Linked DNA regions of Oryctolagus cuniculus. The protein of the gene in region 2 binds, or shares a complex with, the protein of the main gene of each other region. Links are inferred from orthologs where the notes say so. Each region holds a gene or a part of one and is shown on either strand. Other genes may lie near its edges. The genes, in order: NCAPH2, SMC2, NCAPH, NCAPD2, NCAPD3 and NCAPG.

Region 1 (4,094 bases), on a different chromosome or scaffold from region 2:
CCTGAGGCGAACATGAGGCGAAACAGCAGCCAGCGCACCAGCCAGAAGGGGAGGCCCTCGTGGGGTGAGGCCCCCTCCGACCGGCCCTGGGGGGCCTGCTTGCGGCGTCGGCAGAGGGGCCACCCCAGCGGGGCCACCAGCACAGCCAGGAAGCCCGTCTCCAGCAACAGGGAATCCCTGCGGGGACACCAAACAGCACAAAGGACCCTTCCCCATCAAGACTGTGCCCGAGGAACAAACCCCCCACTCTGCCCAGCCCCCTTGCCCAGCAGCCACTCACCACTGGAAATAAAGGAACACCTGGCCCACCTGCGGGGAGAAGAGGTGTCAGGGGCAGGCGTGTGCGTCTGCGCAGTGCGGGGCGGGGCGGGCTGCAGTGGTCGCGCGATGCCCCCCCCCCCCCCCCCCCCCCCCCGGTGCGGCAGGGCGGCCAGCAGCCCCACTTGCCTGGTAGGCCGACAGGTAGGCGGCCCACAGAAGCAGGTAGACCAGGAGGTGGCGCAGCGGGCGCAGCAGCAGGGCACCCAGGGCCAGCAGCGTGCCCAGCAGGCTGAGCAGTTCCAGGCCCTGGGCGGTGTCCAGCCCCAGCACGGGAGCCTCCCACAGCAGCGTCGGGGTCTCCCACAGCTGCTGCAGGCGCCCCTTGCCCTGTGGGCGCAGCGTCCTCCGCGCGGGCAGGATGCCCTCGGGGCCGTACAAGCCTGTGGGAAGGCGCGTCAGGCCGAACCCGCCCGCTCCGGGGCCCCCGGCCAGCCCTCCCCAGCCGAGGTCCGCGGGGGCGGCCCCCCGGCCCCCGCCCCCGCCCCCACGGGGCCCCCGTCCTCATCCGCCGGCCAGAGCCCGGTCCGCACCGAGGCCACCGGCGCCCGCTCCGGGTGGCGTCACGCCCACGGCGCGTCTTGCGGCCCCGCGGGACGCCCACCGCTGCCTCTACCCCTCGCGCAAGGCCGGACCCTCCCCCGCCTGCGGACGGCGCGGGAGAGGAGCGGGCGAGAGGACCCGCGCGCCCTCGGCTCCCTCACCCGGGATCTGCATGTACAGGGAGGCGAAGGCGAACATGAAGATCGCCGCCACGCCCTGCAGAAAGAGCTGCCGCGGGAGCCGGGAGCCCGCCATGTCCGCTACGCGGCCCGCTGGAGCAGAGCCCACGCCGGCCCGGCCCGGCCCCGCCCCGCCCCGCCCCGCCCCGCCCCGCGCGCCCCGCGGCCCTCCCTGGGCGTTTCCGCCACCCGGCGCCGGAGTTCCCCGCGCGGAGCGCCAGCCGCGGTGACGTCATAAGCACGCGCCGCGCCGCGCACGCGTACTTCCTGGGCGGGAAACAGCAAAATGGCGCCAGAACTAGTGGCGGGCTGAGGACGCGGGCCCCCCTCGGACGCCCGCCCTGTGGCCTTCGGGCCGCCCGGCCCCCTCCCGGACATGGAGGACGTGGAGGCGCGCTTCGCCCACCTCCTGCAGCCCATCCGCGACCTCACCAAGAACTGGGAGGTGGACGTGGCGGCCCAGCTGGGCGAGTACTTGGAGGAGGTGAGGGCGGCGGGGGAATGGCGCGGGGCGGCGACGCGGACCGGGGGCCGCCGGGGACCCCGCTGCCTCCGCGTCCGTGGCCGCGCTCGGCCTCAGGCTTGCTGTGGCGCCCCGCCCCCCCGTTCCTCTGTCAATGCACCCGGAGCTGCTACTGCTGGGAGCTGTGGAACCGGTTCGGTAGGCGGCGGCCGCCGTCGGGAGGGAGGAGGCGAGAGGGCTGCGGCGTTCTCGGGGTTCTGTGCCTGGGGCGGGTCGCCTGCCGGGACCCCGCCGCTTCACCCGCGCTCGGGTCCTGACGTCAGCGCCCGCAGGGTCCTCGCCCAGCAGCTCCCTCCGCCTTGAAACAGCGGCGACGAAGGTTTCTTCCTATTTTTGTGCTTGTTTTTCTCCGGAGTGTTGAGATCCCGGGGGAGGGGGCGGCTCGGGTCCCCTTCTGGCACGTTTTCCTGCACAGTCTCATTTCGGTGGTTGTATTTCCACTTTATTCGAAAGGCAGAGAGACCGTTTTCATTCTCTGGTTTGCTTCCCGAATACCCACAGCAGCCAGAGATGGGCTGAAGCCAGGAGCCCAGAACTCGATCCGGGGCACCCAGGTGCTTGGCCACCATCTGGTGCGGAGCGTGCTTCGGCAGGAAGCAGAGGAGCCAGGACTCAAGCCCGGCCCTGTGGCGGGGCCCAGGCTTCCTGTCGCCCTGGACGCCCGCCGGCTTTCCATGGCTGTAAATACTGCCTGGCGGTCAGCGTTGTGGCCCCAGGAGTCGCGGCTGCTCCACTTCGGAGCCGGTTTCCCGCTGAGGAACCTGGGAGAGAAGTGGAAGATGGCTCGGTTGCTTTGTCCCCTGCACCCGCCTGGGAGACCTGGATGGAGTTCCAGGCTTCAGCTTGGCCCAGGCCCACCGTCACCACCTGGGGAGTGCAGGTGGAAGTTACCTTCTCTCTGTTACTCTGCCTTTTGGATAAGTACATTTTTTAAAAGTTGCCTTTTTTTCCAAAGACTTTATTTATTTGAGAGTCAGAGTGACAGAGACAGAGAGAGAGGTCTTCCATCCACTCGTTCACTCCGCAAATGGCTGGAGCTGTGCTGATCAGGAGCTTCTTCCAGGTCTCCCTCATGGGTGCAGGGCCCAAGGACTTGGGCCATCCTCTGCTGCTTTCCCAGGCCATAGCGGAGAGCTGGATTGGAAGAGGGGCAGCTGGGACACGAACTCACGCCCGTATGGGATGATAGTGCCACAGGCAGAGGCTTAGCCTGCTATGCCACAGTGCCACAGTGCTGGCCCCGATAAATCTTTAAAAGAAAAGAGTAGTTCCGGCCGGCGCCGCGGCTCACTAGGCTAATCCTCCGCCTGCGGCGCCGGCACCCCGGGTTCTAGTCCCGGTCGGGGCGCCGGATTCTGTCCCGGTTGCCCCTCTTCCAGGCCAGCTCTCTGCTGTGGCCAGGGAGTGCAGTGGAGGATGGCCCAGGTGCTTGGGCCCTGCACCCCATGGGAGACCAGGAGAAGCACCTGGCTCCTGGCTCCTGCCATCAGATCAGTGCGGTGCGCCGGCCGCGGCGGCCATTGGAGGGTGAACCAACGGCAAGGGAAGACCTTTCTCTCTCTGTCTCTCTCTCTCACTGTCCACTCTGCCTGTAAAAAAAAAAAAAAAAAAAAAGAGTTCCCTGCCTAAAACCCCTCGTGTGTTTTCCTGCACTCAGGTTAAAATCCAGAGTTCCTCCCTCCGTCTGTTTCAGCCTCGCTGTGACCTGTCCTCAGCCTGCGAAGCTGGGAACTCGGTCCGGCTGTCCCGTGCGGGTGGCGGGCACCCAGTTGTTTGAGCTCTCGCGGCTGCATTCCTGCAGGGGCAGGGGCAGGGGCTGGAGCTGGGACCAGACCCACGCTCTCTGCTGCGGGACACGGGCACCTGAGCTGCTCGGCCGGACGCCTGCCCCCAGGCCTGGTCGTCCAGGTGGAGGGAGCCTGTGTCTGAAGGTTCTGGGGTGGGAGGGTGCCCGGTGCAGGGGGCCCTGTGGGACTGCCATGCGGTGAGCAGGGTAGGGGTGCTCGGAGAGGGAGGTGCTTGCCGAGTGTGCCGGGAGCCGGTAGGCGTCTGAGTGGAGCAGCGTGAGTACTGCTGGTGGGTGCAGTGAGGGAGCAGAGCAGCAGGAACACTGGCGTGCAGAGGCCCTCCCGGGAGGGGGACGTGGAATTGGCAGGGGTTGGTGGGGTGAGAGGAGCTGCTCGAGCGTCTGGGTGTGGGTGGGCGGGGCATCGGGTTCAGCTGCACTTGTTCCGTAGGCGTCCGGTGTGGTGTTGAAGGAGGCACTGGGTGTGGGGTCCTGGGAGCAGGTGTGCTGGCGGGGCTGGGGTCACAGCAGGAGGGCTGCTTGATTGTCCTGTCCTGCTCCTGTGTCCTCGTCCGGCGGCTGACCCAGGCGCCCTTGTTGTTCATCGTCAGTGGAAGCAGCTCCTCCCCTCTGGGTGCTGCCGTGGTGCCCGGGAGGCTCACTCCCCAGAGCTGGGTCCTGCCTCTGCCGACGCCTCGGTGCACGGTGGTGGCTCCTCACCTGCCTGCTGTGTTCCATCCGTTTC
Region 2 (3,500 bases):
ATCAAACTGATTTGCATGTTATTTAATTGTTCATCAGAACAAAGCCCTGTGCTCTTTAAAGAAAGACACTAAGCAATGTAATAACCACAGTGTTAGGGATCGAATAAAAATAATATGACAAAAATTAAGAAAAAGGACTATACAGAAAAGTCAGTCAGTAGAAACAGAACAAGAAATGACAGAAGTAGGAGACAAGGAAATCAGAGTTAGATGCTCTATTTTCAAGAATTACCAAGAAAATGAACATAATAATTCTAAGTTCTACTTGATTTTAATAGTATTTTTACCTTGAGAAGCTATAAGATAAAAAAGTATACCTGAAATGAATTTTACTGCCAGAGGTAACAGATCTGACTCTGAAAGAAAAATGCTTAAACTTGAAGATACATTAGTAGATTTTATTTAAGCTAAACTGAAAAATTAAAAACTAAAGCTAAAGAGCTTTAATATCCTGTGAGAGGCTACCTGACATACATATAACTGAAGTTTCAAAAGAAGGCAGACAGAAAGATACCATTATTTAATGATCCCAGATATTGCAGATATAATGAATTCTGAAACCAATACATTTTGGTTTTATGAATTCCAGGTAGGATAAACACAAACACAGTAATCCTGCAAGTCATGTATAAAATTGCTGACAGCCAGTGATTAGGAGAAAAATCTTAGAAGAAACCAGGGGAAAAGAGGTAAATTAATTCTTGTCCAGAAGTCTAGGATATCTATAGGGCTCAAAGAAAAATGTGTCAATCTAGAATTCTGTATCTAACAGAAAAAGTCTTCACATTGAAGGTGTTATGCTTTTACAGAAAAACAAAAGCTAAACATTTTGTTATAACTACTACAGATTGAAGGAAATTCTCAGGCAAAAGTAAAATGATACCAGATGGAACCTTGTGTTTACTTAAGGGAATGAAGAGGGTTGGCTAAAACATGCCTTAGAGAACAATGATGCAGAAACTCAGCATACCAAGAAACTTAAAAGATCATGTGACCTTTGCTGCAGCCAGCCAGATAAAAAATTAAACCCTCCCAAGAAAAATTCTAAATATTTACATATGGAAATTGATTTAGTAATTTTTTCTCCTACAGAATGTACAGTTCCTAGTCCTTGATTTGTTCTCATATTATAACTCTTATTTGTAGAAAATATTGATCTGTTGATTTTCCCTATGAACATCTTTGCGATTTTGAGTAGAAATATATTCCAGCTCATACTTCATGATTGATACAATTTCTAAATAGGTTAAGATGTGAAAATAGCTCTAGTTGTTTGTTAATCAAAATTGAATCCCATAATTTAAATCCCAGTATCATTATTTAGAAAATACTTATTTTTAAGACTTATCTGTTTGAGAGGCAAAGAGATTTTCCATCCTCTGCTTCACTCGCCAAATGGGTGCAACTGCCAGGAGCCTGGAAATGGAGCAGCTGAGACTCTTAACTGGTGTTCCACTGTGGGATGCCAGCATTGCAGCAAGCAGCTTAATTTGCTGTGCCACAACATGGCTCCCCCAGAACACATTTAGAAGAGAATAGAAAATGGATGTACCCCTTCCTACTGAATCCTATAAATTATTACATAACTAAAATACTTTAAAATTATTTTTGGATACACCATGATCAAGTTTAAAGCTTAACGTCTTAAGCATTTGGCATAGAGAAAGCTAAAGAAAAATATTTTTTTATGTTACCTGAATGACCTCAGCTTTTGGCTGTAGTGGTTCAGTCTCAATATGCTTGTACGACTTCATGCATTTCTTGTTTCCCTTCCACTGTTGCACACTCCTCCACACACACACACACACACAGTTGGTAGCTTCATTAATAGCCATTTGGAATGCTGTAAGCATTGAATTATTTATTATAAAATTGTATTACAAGAGGTATTTGTAATTGTATTTTTCAAATAATTTATAAATATTTTATAAATGCTTTTTAATTGAAATACATTTAAGAAAAATATAAAGACTTGGCCGGCGCCGTGGCTCAATAGGCTAATCCTCCACCTTGCGGCGCCGGCACACCGGGTTCTAGTCCCGGTTGGGGCGCCGGATTCTGTCCCGGTTGCCCCTCTTCCAGGCCAGCTCTCTGCTATGGCCAGGGAGTGCAGTGGAGGATGGCCCAGGTGCTTGGGCCCTGCACCCCATGGGAGACCAGGAAAAGCACCTGGCTCCTGGCTCCTGCCAGGATCAGCGCGGTGCGCCGGCTGCAGCGGCGGCCATTGGAGGGTGAACCAACGGCAAAGGAAGACCTTTCTCTCTGTCTCTCTCTCTCACTGTCCACTCTGCCTGTCAAAAAAAAAAAAGAAAAAAAAAAAAAAAGAAAAATATAAAGACTGATTTCAATATCAGAATGCAAATAGATGCAGTTAAAAGGAGTGGTAAGCAAGTTAGAAGAAAATAGATCATGGTTATGGAATCTCGGCATAAGGTATAACTACAAATTCTAGGTAAGAATTGGCTGAACTTCTGACACTGAAGTACTTAGAGTTACAGATCATAATCTATACAATGCACTAGCAAATAAAAATATAAGGAAAAAATGCATAGTATCTGTGTGCATGCTCAGTGTAGGTGTATATATAATAAAAGTGGAAAATGTCACCTAAGTCAGTTATAAAGGTAAGTACCAAAATACGACAGTATCAGAATTGTCTTATAAAAGGAGAATGCTCATGAAGGAAAATGAAAAGCTAAAATAAACATTTTAATACGAAAATACTGAAGTTTGAAACTTAAACACTCTTTATATGACTTGATCATAAAACTGTACTATTTGTCCTAATAGGACTACAGATTTGCTTTAGGGTTTGGTGATAAGTAGTAAAAAAAATAATGGTTCTTTTTCAACTCCACTTTTCTTAGGTCTTTAGTGGCTCTGTCATTAATACTGTCTATGCTCCTCTTCAAACCTGCTCCAATTTATATCTTGGATGAGGTAGATGCAGCCTTGGATCTTTCTCATACCCAGAATATTGGGCAGATGCTGCGTACTCATTTCACACATTCTCAGGTAAGGCCCATAAAAAAATTCTCAGCTGTGGTTTATGTGGAATATCTGTTTTTCTAGAACTATTCTTTTAAGATATTTAGGATTAAAGGGCACTCTAAAGCATTTTCTGCCTTATTTTCATAAACTTATGTTACAATGAGCATAGAATGTTTTAGTGTACCTTTAAAATAAGAGCCAGTCATTCAGATTATTGGTTGTATGAGAGAGAATCCAGTTTAGTCATAATATATGTGGGGAGCAACTCGGACTAGACTAAGTTACTGGAATTAAGACTTATTCTATGCATCTGCTCTCCCACAATATGGCGCTGAGAAGGGAGAAACAGCTTCTACACAGCTGCCTCCAGTTCAACCAATAAACTGTAGGACCTGCTCCTGATTGCAGGAGAGCAGCGTACTCGGCGTGTGGGTAGCAGAGTTGGGATTGGTGGAAGAGGACTATAAAGGAGGAGAGAGACAACATGCACCAGGAACATCTAAGGGGAA
Region 3 (4,126 bases), on a different chromosome or scaffold from region 2:
TGATTATGCAGAATGTCAACACTGTTAGTAAATGCATAAGAAACAATTTAGGGGTGAAGTACAACTTACTTTTAACTGAATCGGTCAAAACTCCCGTAAAGTATAGATGGCAAAATGCTAACAATTGCTGGATCGGCATCAGAGCATCAGGGTCTTATTGTATCAGTCTTTCAACTTCCCTGGATGCTTGAATATTTTCATAATAAGAAGTTAGAAAATATACGGCACAGAGCCAAATGCTATGAAAAAAAAGTTTGTTTTTTTTTTTTTTTCTTCAAAGCAGGAGGTGGGAGGTCAGGAAAGGCTCTCTCTTGGGGAAACAGGTAGGGGAGCAGGTACAACAGACATGTGGATGTTCTGGTTTGATTATTTTTTTTAAGATCTGACAGGTAGAGTGAGAGAGACAGGGAGAGGGAGGGTTCACTCCCCAAATGGCCGCAACTGCTGGGGCTGGTTCAGGCCAAATCAGGAGCCTGGAGCACCGACCCGGGTCCCCGCCGTGGGTGGCAGGACCCAAGCACTTGGTCCATCGTCCTCTGCTTTCCCCAGCACAGCAGCAGGCAGCTGAAGCGGAGCAGCTGGGACTTGAACTGTGCTCCTATATGGGATGCTGACGTCAGAGTCAACAGCTTAACCCACTGTGCCACAACGATGGCCCTGCTTTCATTTACTCGGCAAAACAGAAGTGAACACAAAGCACCAGCAGCTGAGGGGAGGGTGGGAGAGACGGTGTTAGAGGAGAAAGGGGAGGCAGGAAACAGTGAATGAAACAGGGAAGCAGCGCGGCTGCTGGGTAGCTCTAGGACCCCGAGACCACTCAGCGTGGCTGGTGTTTCTCTCCCACCATCGTCAGGTGTGCGGGGCAGGCAAGGTCGGGATTAGCCAGGGTTGTGAGAGCGGTCAGTGAGCAGTTATGAGGAAGCCAGGAGGCAAGGGAGGAGTTATGCGGACTTAGCAGGGATGCAAGCCAAGATGGGACCAAGGATGTGCGAGCGGTGAGCGACAGGGAGAAGCAGAATATAGGTCTGCTGGATCACAATACTGTCAGAGCCGGAAAGACAAAGGTGGCACTGAGAGGCAGGGTATTGAAAACTGAGATGACGGAGTGATGGGCTATTGTTTAATGACAAGGTCTAGGGTGCGACTCTGGTAGTGAGTGGCTATGGTCCACTACAGTGGAGCAAGAAACAGGATCCCTGGAAAACAAAGGAAGAACTGGGAGACCGTGGGAGAGTTTGCAGATGTCAGAGTCAGAGACCTGGCTTCAAACCCAGCTGTCTCTCTTACCAGCTGGGGAGAGGTCAAGTAAATGCTCAAGGCACTTGCTGCTTCATCTTCCTAATGGGAATAAGGATAAGGATCCCAGCTGGTTCAGAACTGGTGATACAGAAAATATGCAAAATCTATTTTATAGGAACATATTAAAAATGAAGGGACGGGGCAGGTATGAGTGTTTCGGCTGCTGGTTTGGATACCCACAGCCCTAGGTTCAAGTCCTGGCTCCATTTGTGAGTCCAGCTTCCTGCTCACGTGGACCCTGGAAGGCAGTGGCAGTGGTGGCTCAAGTAGCTGGCTTCCCTCTACCCATGTGGGAGACCTGGATTGTGTCCCCAGCTCCTGGTTTTGCCCTGGCCCAGTCCTGGCCATTGTAGTCATTTGGAAGGCAAACCAGCTGATAGGAGCTCTGTCTCTCAAATAAACAAAAATAAACATTTTAAAAGTGATACATTGGGGCCAGTGCCAGCGCTGTGGCATAGCAGGTAAAGCCGCCACCTGCCGTGCCGGCATCCCATATAGGCACTGATTCAAGTCCCAGCTGCTCCACTTCTGATCCACCTCTGTTGTGGCCTGGGAAAGCAGTAGAAGATGGCCCAAGTCCTTGGGTCCCTGCACCCACATGGGAGACCTGGAAGAAGCTCCTGGCTTCCGGCTTCGGATCAGCGCAGCTCTGGCCATTGCAGCCAATTGGGGAATGAGCCAGTGGATGGAAGACCTCCTCCGTCCCCACTTCCCTTCTAACTCTGCCTTTGCCTTTCAAATAAATAAATATTTAGAAAAACAAAAGTGATACATCAATGAAACAACAAATAGGAGTGATGAACAAGGATAAAACAAGAACCTCACATGTTCCCTGGTGACAGAAGAGTAGGACTAAGTAAACTCTCACCTGAGGTCAAAACAAACAAGAAGTCAAAACAGGAAAGAGGCAAAAGACATTTTTAGAAACAAAATCAAGAGGACTTGTGACCCTTTGGAGGCAGGCACTGTAGGGAGCTGGACCTTGGGACAAGAAACCGTAACAAACAGTACTGAAGGGAGCACCTGTCCCGGAGGGAAACAGTTGAGAACGAAAGGCAGGTCCCAGCTCCCCAGATCTTTCCCTGATTGCGTGTCTCTCTCTCTCTCTCTCTCTCTCTCTCTCTCTCTCTCTGGCAGCATTTGAGACAGCTGCCGACTCCGTCCTTTTCGGAACCACTCTTGGATTCCGCAATACCTCTCTCTCCCCAGTTTTTCTACCCTCTTCTAAATGCTGGTCCCAGGTGCACTCTGGCCCAGGTCTTCCTAGCGTTCTCAGCCGTCGCCATGGCTTTATGATCTAAATGACGATGACCAAATGTCTCAGTCCACGGGCCTAAGGTTCTAAGAGGCCAGGGATTTTTAATCTGTTCTTCTCTTTACATGCATGCACGCTAAACATACAGTGGTAACCACAGCCGTGCCGCCGCGCTGCAAATGACAGACATCTCTCCCGAGAAATTCGCCCGTTCAACGGCCAGAAAAGCCAGCAAGGTGCAGGGCCGCGGAACGCAGGAGCCGGCCAGCCCCGCGCGCGCCCACCGCCCGCCGAGCCCTCGCCTCCCCGTCTCCGCGAACCGGGCCGCGCTCGGCGCCCGCTCTCCCCGCGCCCCGAGCACCGCTTCACAGCGGCCCCTGAGCACCGTGCCTCCCCCGGGCCCCGGCCTCACCTGGGTAAGGAGGACCCATCTTGCCTTCGAGGGCTCCGAGACGCATTTAAATCGCGCGCGCCTGGACGCCCGGGCGGCGTAACGGCCGCGTGACGTCCCTCGTGGGCGGGGCCAGAAGTGCGCCTGCGCAGACCGCTCGCTCCGTTGGCGGGGTTCCTGCCGGTGTAGCCGCGGAAGTGAGGCGGCCTGGGCTGAGGGGCCAGGCCCTGGGGCGTACTCCGGGGGAGGCCCATGGAGTGGTTGTCATGGTGTAGATGCCCCCTCCTTCTGAGCGCCAGGCGCGGAACTGTGCGCTGGGGACCGAGCGTCGATCTGGACAGCCGAGGGCTCTGCTATCGCGGCATCCCTAAAAGGGAGGCGGATCCCCGAAGAACCAGGTGTCGCTGGACCGGTACCTTGAGGGCCGCAAAACGCTAAGGAGATGCTAAGTGAAGACGGGGTGTGTGTGGGTTGGAAGCAGCGAGAGCGAGCCCGCTCCGGAATGAGGCACTTTGGGGGGCAGAGGGGAGGACGGGTGCAAAATCAACGTTGTGTACTTTTTAAAATTATTTTTATAAGTGAAGCCCATCGTTTTCACTGATTCTTGTGAAAGTCTCCCTGGAAACCACTCCCCCCTTCCAGTGAAAGGTTGGAGAAGTGAGGGGGGTATAAGGTGCCCCTGTCCGTTCTGCTTCCCCTGGCCAAGGATTGTATTTAGGGGAGAAAGGCCATGGCGATTCCCCCGATAACCCTAAAGCCTCCTGTAATTTTTTTTTTAAGATTTATTTATTTATTTGAAAGACAGAGTTACAGAGAGAGGTAGAGCCAGAGAGAGAGAAAGGTCTTACGTTCCGCTGGTTCACTCCCTAAATGACCACAACAGCCGAAGCTGAATCGATCCGGTGCCAGGAGCTTCCAGGTCTCCCATGCGGGTGCAGGGGCCCAAGGACCTGGGCCATCCTCCATTGCTTTCCCAGGCCATAGCAGAGAGCTGGATGGGAAGTGGAGCAGCCAGGACTTGAACCGGCGCCCATATGGGATGCCGCCACTGCAGGCTGGAGCTTTAACCCACTGCCCTACAGCTCCGGCCTCCCTCCTATAATTTCTTGTCACACACATCTGGAGTCTTTTACAGTGTTTCTTCTCAAGCATGCTGTTGGCATTCAGGGTGAAACAGTTCT
Region 4 (3,500 bases), on a different chromosome or scaffold from region 2:
CAGCCGCCACCAGCACAGGTGCCAGGTGTTCAAAGTGCTGCAGCATCTGAATGATCTTCACAGTGGCACCTGTGGATGTACGCGCATGAGAAATGGTGGGCAAAATGCAAAAGGTAGAGCAGGTGGAGGGATAACTTACTGAGCATGTGGTTATAACGTGTCAGGGCCACACCAAGCAGGTGTGTTATGGCTTCCCGTGTGGGCCGGTTCTTCTGGTGATTGATGGTGGGGTTCTCCAGAAGGCGATAGCAACAGCCAGTAACCAAACTGAGAAATGCAGAAAATAGACAAGCAGATCAGCTGTCTGGATTCATTCCTATCAGGGCCTCTGTTCAATGACTAAAGCCCCCAAAGTTGGAGTCTGCTCATTTTCACCCTCCAAGCGCCTTCTGTATCAAGTTGCTTTGCTGATCCCAGCTGGGTACGTTCCTGCCTTCAAGATCACCAGCACTGTAGAACAGTAGGTAAAGCTGCCACCTGCAATGCTGGCGTCCCCTATGAGCACTCGTTCATGTCCTGGCTGCTTTACTTCCTATCCAGCCAGGCTAAGTCCCAGCCACTCTGCTTCTGATGCAGCTCCCTGCTAATGGCCTGGGAAAGCAGCAGATTGGAGATGGAGCAGCCGGGGCATGAACTGGCACCCGTATGGGATGTAGGTGCAACAGCTGGAGGCTTTACTGGCTACACCATATCAGTCCCACAAATAAATAAATCTTTTAAAAAAATAATAAAATCACAACACTCTGCCATCAAATTACCCATCTCGCTCTTCTTTGTTTCATAGCAATAAACCATAAAACATACATATATATATTTCTTACTTGTTTTAAAATTTGTCTTCTATTGTGTACTATAAACTCCAGGGTCGGGGGACAAGAACATCTGTTTACAGAGCCAATAACAATGGCAGGCACACACCGAGGAGATTCTCTGTAAATACCATCTCATGAATAAATGGGCATGAGAGATGAGAGATTCACATTTGTCTCTAACACTCTGTTATCTACTTTCCAATAGTCCCATGCTGCGATTGTACTAGCATGTATTACAGGCAGAACCGAGGCGTACAGTGAAGTATTTGAGAGGCATTTCTGGCAGCAGAGCCCTCATGGCTCTGGCTTAGCTGTAGCCCTCCTAACTCCTACCTGACAAACTCCTCTTCAATGATTGAGTGGTTCCACAGGTGACGAATATCTAATTGGAGTAGCTGCGTTAAAAGCTGAAGAATTGGTTGTCTCTCTTCCTCCCAATCAAAACCATGCGTTGCCTTGGTCCGGGCTTTCTTACCCTAAAAGGAGCATAAATACACACTTAGGAAAAAAAATAAAGAAACAGAGGGCCAAACTCTGCTGGTCTGAGTGCCCAAACTATCCAGTATCAAGATAAGGTAGAAGGTAACATAGGAGAAGGATCACAGGTACTACTTATCAGGGAAGGAAATGTGAGGATACTTTTGAGTACCTTTTCCTAAATCCTAAGAGGGCAAAAGTATTTTCAGAATCATTGGATTCTCTTCTTTACTCTCAATTCCCCTATCCCCCTAGACCTCATAGGAAGTGAGCCAGGACTCCAAATTACCTTCCCACCAAGGTCCAGGTCCATGTGGTTTGTCTGGCTGGCCATGGTCTCGAAAGATTCCAGGAGGCGTATGAGAACATAGCAGTTCATCTTCAGCGCATTTAGATGGGCATTTCTATCTGATATACTCAAGGTTGCATCATCCAAGATGGCTGGAAGCTCCTGGGAGTGGCGCGACACCACTGTGAGGGGAGAATCCGGGAGTCGGTTTCATTCGCTTTCTTCATGTATTCCAACTTCACGAAATCCAGCACTTGCAGCCATCAGATTACCAAAGATCTGTGTTTCATCTCTCAGTGGCCATGCTATAAGCTAAGTCCTTTGGGACCTCTGACTCCTGACAACCCGAACGTGCTCTGTTCCTGCTCTCTCACTCCAGTTACCCAATTCTCCCTGGCAACTGGAAGATTGACCTCTATTCAAGAGAGGCAGCTCAAAAGTAGGAAACAGTAGTTTGTGTTGGTCTGCCCTTACAGCGAACGCACACTACTCTGTATCGCCCACCAAGATTACAGACCTTAAGATGTCAAAGGTCCCAGGGCTTAGCCAGACCAACTGAATCACAACAGCCTTGATATCATCATGTGGCTGACAAAATGGAAGAAATAATAAACACACAAACCACAGGAACCTTCCGCCCCCTACTCTCTGACCCATAAACACCTTTCATCAGGAATTCCAGAGTATCTTCCTTGAGGCCAGCGTCTATACTTCGAAAGTGACTACAAGGGAAACAAAGTGCGAGGGTGAGACAGGAACCTGCAGAGCCATTGTAGTAGTTCAGATCGAACCTGAGGAATCCTACATTTGACAAACATGGGAAACTGCTCAACGGAATACATACAGCAGCAAATTGGGCAAATGCTGATCAGTAGAGATGTGCACCTATGACCATTTATCCGTGCACTTAGAATCTGGAGTTTCAGGACTAGCATGCGAGGTCAGGGCAATAGCCACCATGTGCCGCTGGGTGTTTCACTTACTGTAAAATGCTGTAGATGGTATCAAAGTGCTGCAGGATAGCCAGGGGCCCCTGAGCTCGGAAGGCAGCCTGAAATGCTACAAAGGATCAAAGAAACTGGTCAATTTGGAAGGGAAAAGAGACCTTTTTGGTAAATTCTATTCATGGCAGAAAACCAGGTTTATTGCTTTAATGGCTAGAATCACAAAAGACAGATGGAAAACTTTTCCTTGAAACCTGCAATAATTATAATGATATATATGTTTTACAATTAAAACCCCAGTTGAGTTTCACTACACATCTAAGCTAGATCCAGCAGACACTCATGCCTATCTCATGGGAAAAGAAACTACGTCTTCATAGTTCTTATGTGACTTGTCCAAGTTATAGCAAACTGAGAACTTTTTAAATTAACTTTTTATTTTGAAATTACGAAAAAGTGGTGTAACAGTACAGTTCCTGTACCTTTCACCTAAATATTGTTAAATCCTATATAACTGTAGTGCAAATATTTATTCCAAATCAAAACATTAACTTTGGGGCCAGTGCTGTGGTATGGCGGGTAAAACCACCGCCTAGAGTGCCAGCATCCCATATGGGCACTGGTTTGAGATCTGGCAGCTCCATTTCCAATCCAGCTCTCTGCTATGGCCTGGGAAAAGCAGTGGAGGATGGCCCAAGTCCTTGGGCCCTTGCACCTGCATGGGAGACCCAGAAGAAGCTCCTGGCTCCTGGTTTCAGATTGGCCCAGTTCCAGCCATTGTGGCCATTTGGGGAGTGAACCAGCGGATGGAAGATCTCTCTCTCTGCCTCTCTGTAACTCTGCCTTTCAAATAAATAAGCTGCTGCCTGTGATGCCATCATACCACATGAGCACAGGTTAGAGTCCCCGCTGCTCTATTTCTGATTCAGCTCCTTGCTAGCGTGCCTGGGAAAGCAGCAAAAGATGGCCCAAATGCTT
Region 5 (3,500 bases), about 80 Mb from region 2:
TGGAATGCTACAGAATCACTAGTGGAAGTTCTGAAAGAAGAGTTCATGGAGAAAATCTCACTCACTGCTTATTATTGTGTGCACAGGGAAGCAGATTATTTATAAATGATACAAGTAAATGTATAAACAAAACTGTGTGTGCAGTAGGAACACTGCCATGGTGAGGTCTGGAGTTTGCTCCATTTGCCAAATCTCTTAGCACAAATATACACTGCTTTATTACCCACAATCCTAAATCTTCAATTAATATTGTTTAAAGATGGGAAAACAGAAACCATTTTAAAAGGAGTAAGTAGCAGCCTGTTTTATTTGTAAGCTCTCACTCTGTCTGGGGCCAACCCAAAGGCTTACCGTGATTGCTTGTTTTGTCCAGGCTTTCAGAATTTAAAGCGAAAGGCACAACTCCCAGGCTCCGGCTCTGATGCCTGCTCTTTGACTCCACTGCTTTCTTGACGGAATTCAAGATCGCAATGGTGCTCAGGGACATGGGCCTGTGGAGAACAAGAAGCCACACATGGGGACGTTCACAGTGCAGGCCCTGCAGAGGCAGCACAGACACCACCGTGCCTTCCCATGTCCTTCCCAGAGCACGGCTCATCCGCACGTGCCTTGACCTCTAAGGGAGGGTGTGCTGATGCCTGGCGGGGACAGCAGATCCTGGGGACGGTAGTGGAGAACCGTCCTTGGCTGCCACACTGAGCTCTCTACCTGGCTTTGGGCATTAACATTTTCAATGGTCCCATTTCTTGTGTAGGAGGCAAGGTTGGTGCATGGCCAGTGCTTGACCAGGGAGTTGAGGGCTGGCGCACGGCAGGGAGCACAGCAGGATTTTCTTGGCCAGGGGGAGCTGGCGTTTCTAAGCCTGGAGCAGCCTGTTAAGAGAAAAGGAATCGAATTGTCATGTGCTGTGAGCAAGTCCATACAAAATGTATCTTAATATCGCATCAGCCCTAGGCAAGCAGAACTTTCTCTTCAGAAACAGAGAACTACTAGAAAACTGCCCTGCGAGATGTAGCATTAAAAACAACGGGAAGTGCAGTTCGTCCTCTTCTCTTTTTAACAGAGCAGATCTGTCTGGAATCCCCAGGGCAGGGAGAACACAGTGAATGTGGGGAGCAGGGAACCCAGCAAGACCCCAGGGGACACCGTACCCTAAGAGGTGAAAAGACTGCAAATACTCAGCACGTCAAAGAGACCTGGGTGTCCACAGCCTTGGGCATCAGAAGTTCTGCCCCCTGGTGGCATCTTGCTCTCTGGGCATGTGTAAGTTTCTCCACATTCCTATCACAAGACTTCCCCGGGAGTCCCTGTGACACGGCCCTGGGGGAGGGCAGGCCTCAAGGTATCACAGGCAACAAAGGAACTGGGCCGTGGCCAGCAGGCAGCATAAGGTCTGACTCTTGCCGCAGAGGGCAGACTGGAGACCTGGTCACGCTTAAGGTGGAAGCCTCCTGTCTACCTGCACTGCTTGCGCCCCGTCGGCACTGTCTGTGGTCCTAGTCGCCTCCGCCAGTTTGGCCAGCTCTTGCTCTTGGGCTAGCTGTTCGTTGTACTTCTTCATGTCGTACTCAAGTTCTGATGCCAGTTGTTTGTCAACAGCGAAGAAGTCCTTGACTTCATCCCGGTAATCCTGCATCACCTCCTACAACACACCAGAAGCATCCTTTAATGTTTCCTTGGGTAGAAAAACAAGCCTATTTTATAAATAAGACTCCTATTTCTGAGGACAGCCTTTCTACTGCAGTAACTAACAGGTTAACACATCAAGGAAACACTAACTGCTCTTAGCGTGGACCACAGAAACAAGTGAACAGGCTGTGAGATTTCACTAATAGCTCTGATCTCTTAGGAAGCTTCTCGTCTCTGCTTCCCGTCAGGCCAACCTCCCAGTGCCTCCTGGGGGAAAGTCACGGTTCTGGCTTAGACAAGGTTCCTGGGTGTGTTACAGGACATGGTGCAGCCTGAGAGTGCTCATCTGTCTTGGTTAGTGTCCCCCTCTGGCTCCCCATTGACCATGGCCATGCCTGGGTCCCATCTCTGTGCCCTCCTGCGAAGATTTAGGTCCACCTGGGTAAGACATTCTCAGGTCTTCCAGGGGGCTGCCAGGGACACAGCCTCACTCCTAAGAGAAACCACAGCAGAGAACAGCATTGCAGGGAGACAAGGATCCACGGCTGCTCCAGCTGGGAGGGAGGAGGGAAACCCACCCTCCCTTTCAGCTGCTACTAAGAGTGGGTTCCACAGAGGAGGAAGAGAATCATGGCAGCCACAGACATAAAGCACCTTTGGGGCACCCTCTGCAGATGTGATCAGAAATAGGTGTATGCTTGTCTGAAGTGTTTAGGTGGTCTCATTAGCTTCTCAGTGCCTTTTTTTTCCCCTGAGGCTTAAAACAGGGCAATAAAAATGTAAGAATGGGGTGTACGTTTGGCAGTGGCTAACATGACGCTTAGGATGTTCACATCTTATACTGGAGTGCCTGGGTTTGAGTCTGGTTCTGCTCCTGATTCTAGCTTCTTGCTAATGTGCACCCCTGGGAGGAAGTAGTGATGGCTCAAGTAGTTGGGTCCCTGCCACCCACATGGGAGACTTGGATTGAGTTTTAGGATCCTGGCTTTGACCTGGCCCATCCTGGCTGTTGTAGGTGAACCAGCAGATGGGAAATCTCTCTCTTTCTCTGCGCCTGTCTGTCCCTGTCTTTCTGCCTTTCAAATAAAAATTAAAAAAAAAAATAAATATAAAGTAATCTAAAGTTCTCATTTTTTCCATGCAGTGAGCCTATCTTTCCCACCTTAACTTCCCTAGGATAAAAGCTATTTGAAATACTATGTCAATACAATGTCAATTTTGCTGTAGCAATTTTTGGAAAAAGAAAATTCTTTCAAGAGGAAAAATGCATAATGTGAACAGAGAAATGACTCCGTTCAATTAAAGGAAAAAATGCTGGAATAATTTCTGGGTGAAAGATTTTTCCAGAAAAATCTGAGGGCTTGTTTAGGTCTGTACTGTGAGTAAACACACCATGGCTTTGCCTGCATGGAGCTTCTCGGGGTTCTCCTATTGCATAATAGAATCTCCAGCCCAGGGATGGTGTTGCCCAGGTTGGTGGCTGGTGCCCAAGTCCCCAGACATGCTGTCACAGGACAGGGCAGTGACTCCCTGAGCTTGCCAATCTGGGACTGCAATACCCTTCACAGGAAGTGCTGAGATGATGACTCTGTCACAGATCCCAGTCGAGAAAGTCTTCAAAATGGAATTCAACCCCACTAGGACTCACCTGCTCAGCACAGCGAGTCAGCTCGTCACAGACTCTGCCACGTGAGGAAAGGACAGCTTTAGGGGAGCCTCTGGCCAGACCCCCCATCCTCTCTACAATCGTCACAGGCCTGTGTGACCTGGGTATTGCTAAGTAAACCCACATGCACTGTGAGTCCTGACTGTACACTGTCCGTGGCATCATAACTCACAGGAGACCCTAAGGAAAGGACTGGTGCCTGGGC
Region 6 (4,134 bases), on a different chromosome or scaffold from region 2:
ATTTGGAATCTTATCCTTTAATCTAATAAGCATAGCTTCATTAATTTTATCAAACAAATGATCATCAATCTGGGCATTTTCTGGCATACTTCCCAAAAGCTTGTTTATGAGCTGGCATACTCTAAATCTGACTGCATTGCTATTTGCTTCATGAGACTAAAACAGAAACAAATCAAAATTTATTCACTCATATCATTTTTAAGCAATGCATATGACTTGAACTTTCTATAAGAATTTACAACAGTAACTCCTTAGTTGCAGAAGTGGTTAACGATCACGGTGCAGTAAATAGATATTTTGTATATAATCAAACACAGCCTAGAAGAAATATTTGCTATAACAACACATTGCTCTTGGGGCACTGCCCTGGCTCACTTGGTTACTCCTCCGCCTGCCGAGCCAGCATCCCATATGGGCGCCAGTTCTAGCCCCGGTTGCTCCGCTTCCAGTCCAGCTCTCTGCTGTGGCCAGGCAGGGCAGTGGAGGATGGCCCAAGTGCTTGGGCCCCTACACTGCATGGGAGACTGGGAAAAAGCACCTGGCTCCTGGCTTTGGATTGGCGCAGCACGCCGGATCCAGCAGCCATTTGGGGAGTGGAACCAATGGAAGGAAAACCTTTCTCTGTCTCTCTCTGTCTATTTTGCCTGTCAAATAAAAACAAATAAATAAATAAGAACAAATTGCTCTTTTAGGAACTCTTACTTTATTTCTAAAATAAAGAACTCATTTAAAACAAACATGTAACAAAGGGTTGAGAAGTCATTAAAAATTTAATGCTGGAGTCTTTTGGGGTTTTTTTGGACAGAGTGGACAGTGAGAGAGACAGACAAAGAAAAAGGTCTTCCTTTCCCGTTGGTTCACCCCGCCCCCCGCACTGGCTGCTGTGGCCAGCGGGCTGCAGCCGGTGCACCGCGCTGATCTGAAGCCAGGAGCCAGGTGCTTCTCCTGGTCTCCCATGCGGGTGCAGGGCCCAGACACTTGGGCCATCCTCCACTGCACTCCAGGGCCACAGCAGGGAGCTGGACTGGAAGAGGAGCAACCCGGACAGAATCCTGTGCCCTTACCGGGACTAGAACCCGGTGTGCTGGCGCCGCAGGTGGAGGATTAGCCTAGTGAGCCGCAGCGCAGCTTACTGGAGTCATTTTTTAAGAAACACTTTTTAATCTTAATGATAGTTCTACTATTTCCTATAAAAAGTCAGATGCTTTCTCAATCACCAGACATTTCATTGTCTACAATATATAAACTTTACGGTAAAACCTTCTACAACACTTCTCCAAGGTGTTAGCTTTCAACATACCTGTAAGAGAAAAGTAAACAAATAATTTAAAATGCCACCATCCTCCTCTTCTTCATCATCTTCCATATCTGATTGGTGAAAGGAAGTAACAAACTTTGCTGCAAATTCTATTACTCTCTCCACAGCTGGCTCACGTTTATAGATCACCATAGCATACTTAAGGTAATGGATGAACTCCTCATGAAAAACTGTTTTATCATTCATCTGAAAGACAAAAGATAACTTGCACGAACTGAACTGCACTGGTAATACTTTTTTCCAAAACATTACCTTAACATTGCTGACAGCACCGGCCCTAATTCAAACGAAAAACTTTTTTGTAAACTCTGAAGTATCCACACCAGCAAAAAGGGAAAAATAAGCTTGCACAAACTTCTCTCCACGATGTAATTTGCTTCCCCCAAAGAGTCTGCAACCATAAATTTTGACAGTGAATGGACTCTTTTGATACTTCTTTACATGTCTTTAGAATCACGTTAGTAGAAGCATGCTTCTTCATGGAAAAACTCAAAACCTACGCTGGCTTTTTTATGTACCGTATTTAATTTGCTCATCACCCCGCAATTCCTTTTTGATAAAACTTTCACATCCTACCTCATATCCTCAAAGCCCTTGCTATACTTAGTTTTTCTTAGACTTCAAGATAATCTATCTTCCGAGCTTCATTGTCCTGTTCTTCCCACGGCTTCACTCAAAACAAACACACGGTATTTAGGTGAACAGGAAGGGAAAGGTCCTCGCGAGTAATCTGCTTGGACGCTGGACTCAATTTGACATAGGGCGGGATGAGACTGATTTGATGATGGCTGGCTTTTCTGCTGTGAGCGGGGGCCCGACGGGCAAGGACCACCGAGCCTTGGGGTCCACGACCTACTCGGCGACCCGACACTGAGAGCCCGGACGCCTCGGGTCACCCTCCGGACTAACGGTTCGCGCCGCCCCCATCTCCGGCCGGGGGTAAGGACCGCGAAGAGAAAGTGGACGGCGCCAGGGCTTCCAGCCATTCTGGGCGAGTCGCCCGACCTCTCCGTACTTCACTCCAAAGCGGCTCGCCACAGCGGAGGAGGTGGAGTCGCGCGGGCCGAGTCCGAAGGGTCCCGGGGAAGCTCCTGGGGGAGGCTGAGCCAAGGCAGGGCTGGGCGAAGGCGGCGAAGGGCCCACAGCCATTCCGGCGCTTACCGTGCCGTAGGTGCGGCTCAGCGCCACCACCAGCTTCGCCTGGTTCTGGTGCGGCTGCTGCGCCAGCTGAAAGGCCTCCTTAACCGGCAGCACTCTCTTTTCCGCTCCCATGGCGAGGTGACCCGGCCAGGACTATCCTTGCCCGCTTCAGTGCTTCTGGCCCGACCGCCCCAACACCGAATTCTCCTCAGAACGCCACTTGGGGCGTGGTTACCCGCCAGAACGTTCAAATAACTCTCGCGAGAGAAGGAAATACCGCGAGACTTCCGCGAGCGCGCCAGAGGCGAGAGCGGAGAGAACCGAATCCTGTCCCTCTGGCTCTGCCCGCGCTTTGAGCGCATGCGCGTCGGGTGTTTCCCGGTGGGAAGTGGCGTTTCTAAGGAGAGGGGGCGTTGGCTTGGCCGGAAGTGGTGTCGTCAGGGAGGGCTGGCGGAGCTGCTGTTCTACTTTCGGGACAGGGCTGGTGGCGCTAGGCCTAGCGGGATCGTGCGTCTGGTGGTGAGACGAGAAAAAAAGCTCCTCCATGGGTGAGAACAGGGATCTGCTGAGGGGAACAATCTGTGTTCCCGCCGCAGGGGCGGGAGATGCGGAGAGGAGGGGGAGATGGGGCGTTCGGGAAGCCCGGACCGCAGCCCGGCTGCTCGTGAGCGGGGAGACGCTCCCCGGTAGGCTGAGGGAGGCGTTCCGAGGTCTCCACGGGCCGCGGTCTCTCCAGGGCCCGAGGGGCTGACGTCTGGAAGCAGCGTATGATTTTATTTAGCTGAGCTGGCTCGGGACGTGCCAGCTTTCAAAGCTTAGTTTACAGTCCTGCGTAGCTACAGTGTGTTAAAGGAGAACGGAGAGAATGGGAAAATCTAGCTAAGTGGTCACGGTGAGGAACAGGAACTCAGTCTTTAAAACCTTTTTTGGGGGAGAAAAGTGAAACTGCGTCAGACAAAAACGAATACTTTTATTGGGGGCTGCTTAGGACAAACCACCCCAAAACATGACAGTAGGAGACGAGAACATGCCTCTCTAAAATATACTTGCTGGGCTTATTTTGAGCTGTTATAAGGAACTGCCAGCTCTGGAGGAGCTGTGAAAAGCTATCCTTGAAGTTAGGTCTGTCAAAGAAATTAGGAGACTACTGAACTATCTGTATCTGGAAGAGGACTCCTTCACACTTCTGTTCTCTGCTGATCTATAGTCTCCACACGTTTCCTCTTTGCACCCTCTCATAACTTGTGTCACCACCTCCCAACCAGAAACCCGGTTGCTTTGTGTAGCCCAGGATATTCCGTAAGTGTAAGCTGTCATCTCTTTTTCTGGGACTCCTGTCCCTTACTTTTTGTTGTTGTTGTTGTTGTTGTTTCTGTTGAATCTGTCTTAGGGCAACTTCACTGGTAGACCAGCCAAAGAACCTAGGAAGTTGGAGGGAAGACATTTCTCCCTCCTGTTCCTCACTATGTAGCCATAACCACCTGAAGAAATAGACCCTTACAAAGCTGCCTGTGCATCTTGCTCCTTTTGAGTTGTCTTCCCTCTCTAGAAATAACACTTTTAGACTTTACTGTTAACTTTTAGAGAACAAAAGCTTTCTATATTAAGGACATATAGATAAATCATTGAATGAATATATTCTACTGTTTTGTGTTTTAACCATTTTATGAAGAATC

The links.
Region 1: the proteins of SMC2 (region 2) and NCAPH2 are in contact, whole or in part, in a cryo-EM structure (PDB 9F5W), measured with the Homo sapiens proteins. The link is inferred for Oryctolagus cuniculus from reciprocal best matches to the Homo sapiens genes SMC2 and NCAPH2. Residues at the interface, in NP_001036015.1 of Homo sapiens: Leu93, Thr125, Gln128, Asp129, Cys132, Gly135, Leu136, Asn137, Met173, Tyr174, Lys177, Lys178; in NP_689512.2 of Homo sapiens: Glu46, Phe53, Ile54, Glu55, Leu58, Leu59, Gly62, Ser63, Ala64, Cys65, Val66, Lys69, Tyr73.
Region 3: SMC2 (region 2) and NCAPH share a complex: the UniProt entries of both Homo sapiens proteins name them as parts of the condensin complex. The link is inferred for Oryctolagus cuniculus from reciprocal best matches to the Homo sapiens genes SMC2 and NCAPH.
Region 4: SMC2 (region 2) and NCAPD2 share a complex: the UniProt entries of both Homo sapiens proteins name them as parts of the condensin complex. The link is inferred for Oryctolagus cuniculus from reciprocal best matches to the Homo sapiens genes SMC2 and NCAPD2.
Region 5: the proteins of SMC2 (region 2) and NCAPD3 are in contact, whole or in part, in a cryo-EM structure (PDB 9F5W), measured with the Homo sapiens proteins. The link is inferred for Oryctolagus cuniculus from reciprocal best matches to the Homo sapiens genes SMC2 and NCAPD3. Residues at the interface, in NP_001036015.1 of Homo sapiens: Arg112, Ala122, Asn123, Asn124, Thr125, Arg126, Leu218, Lys222, Arg225, His229, Trp940, Asn942, Ala943, Glu944, Phe948, Arg981, Met985, Arg986; in NP_056076.1 of Homo sapiens: Asp31, Met72, Ile80, Pro127, Gly128, Ala131, Phe135, Pro137, Asp141, Lys235, Gln237, Gln240, Leu1121, Asn1196, Asn1200, Pro1203.
Region 6: SMC2 (region 2) and NCAPG share a complex: the UniProt entries of both Homo sapiens proteins name them as parts of the condensin complex. The link is inferred for Oryctolagus cuniculus from reciprocal best matches to the Homo sapiens genes SMC2 and NCAPG.

The regions. Positions count from the first base shown.
Region 1 is NC_091442.1:123,428,165-123,432,258, forward strand, and holds the start of NCAPH2 (condensin-2 complex subunit H2), read left to right. Parts: upstream 1-1,294; 5' UTR 1,295-1,416; coding exon 1,417-1,524; intron 1,525-4,094. Other genes in the region: LMF2 (lipase maturation factor 2), read right to left, coding at 1-177, 281-309, 448-701, 1,023-1,116. UniProt on the Homo sapiens protein: Regulatory subunit of the condensin-2 complex, a complex that seems to provide chromosomes with an additional level of organization and rigidity and in establishing mitotic chromosome architecture.
Region 2 is NC_091432.1:207,964,379-207,967,878, forward strand, and holds part of SMC2 (structural maintenance of chromosomes protein 2), read left to right. Parts: intron 1-2,867; coding exon 2,868-3,015; intron 3,016-3,500. UniProt on the Homo sapiens protein: Central component of the condensin complex, a complex required for conversion of interphase chromatin into mitotic-like condense chromosomes.
Region 3 is NC_091433.1:111,235,354-111,239,479, forward strand, and holds the start of NCAPH (condensin complex subunit 2), read right to left. Parts: upstream 2,801-4,126; 5' UTR 2,701-2,800; intron 187-2,700; 5' UTR 140-186; coding exon 70-139; intron 1-69. UniProt on the Homo sapiens protein: Regulatory subunit of the condensin complex, a complex required for conversion of interphase chromatin into mitotic-like condense chromosomes.
Region 4 is NC_091440.1:102,990,232-102,993,731, forward strand, and holds part of NCAPD2 (condensin complex subunit 1), read right to left. Parts: intron 2,638-3,500; coding exon 2,562-2,637; intron 2,301-2,561; coding exon 2,242-2,300; intron 2,168-2,241; exon of another isoform or gene 1,837-2,167; intron 1,761-1,836; coding exon 1,579-1,760; intron 1,289-1,578; coding exon 1,146-1,288; intron 268-1,145; coding exon 140-267; intron 70-139; coding exon 1-69. UniProt on the Homo sapiens protein: Regulatory subunit of the condensin complex, a complex required for conversion of interphase chromatin into mitotic-like condense chromosomes.
Region 5 is NC_091432.1:128,339,788-128,343,287, forward strand, and holds part of NCAPD3 (condensin-2 complex subunit D3), read right to left. Parts: intron 1,643-3,500; coding exon 1,460-1,642; intron 873-1,459; coding exon 709-872; intron 492-708; coding exon 352-491; intron 1-351.
Region 6 is NC_091433.1:12,948,446-12,952,579, reverse strand, and holds the start of NCAPG (condensin complex subunit 3), read right to left. Parts: upstream 2,801-4,134; 5' UTR 2,591-2,800; coding exon 2,480-2,590; intron 1,505-2,479; coding exon 1,301-1,504; intron 157-1,300; coding exon 1-156. UniProt on the Homo sapiens protein: Regulatory subunit of the condensin complex, a complex required for conversion of interphase chromatin into mitotic-like condense chromosomes.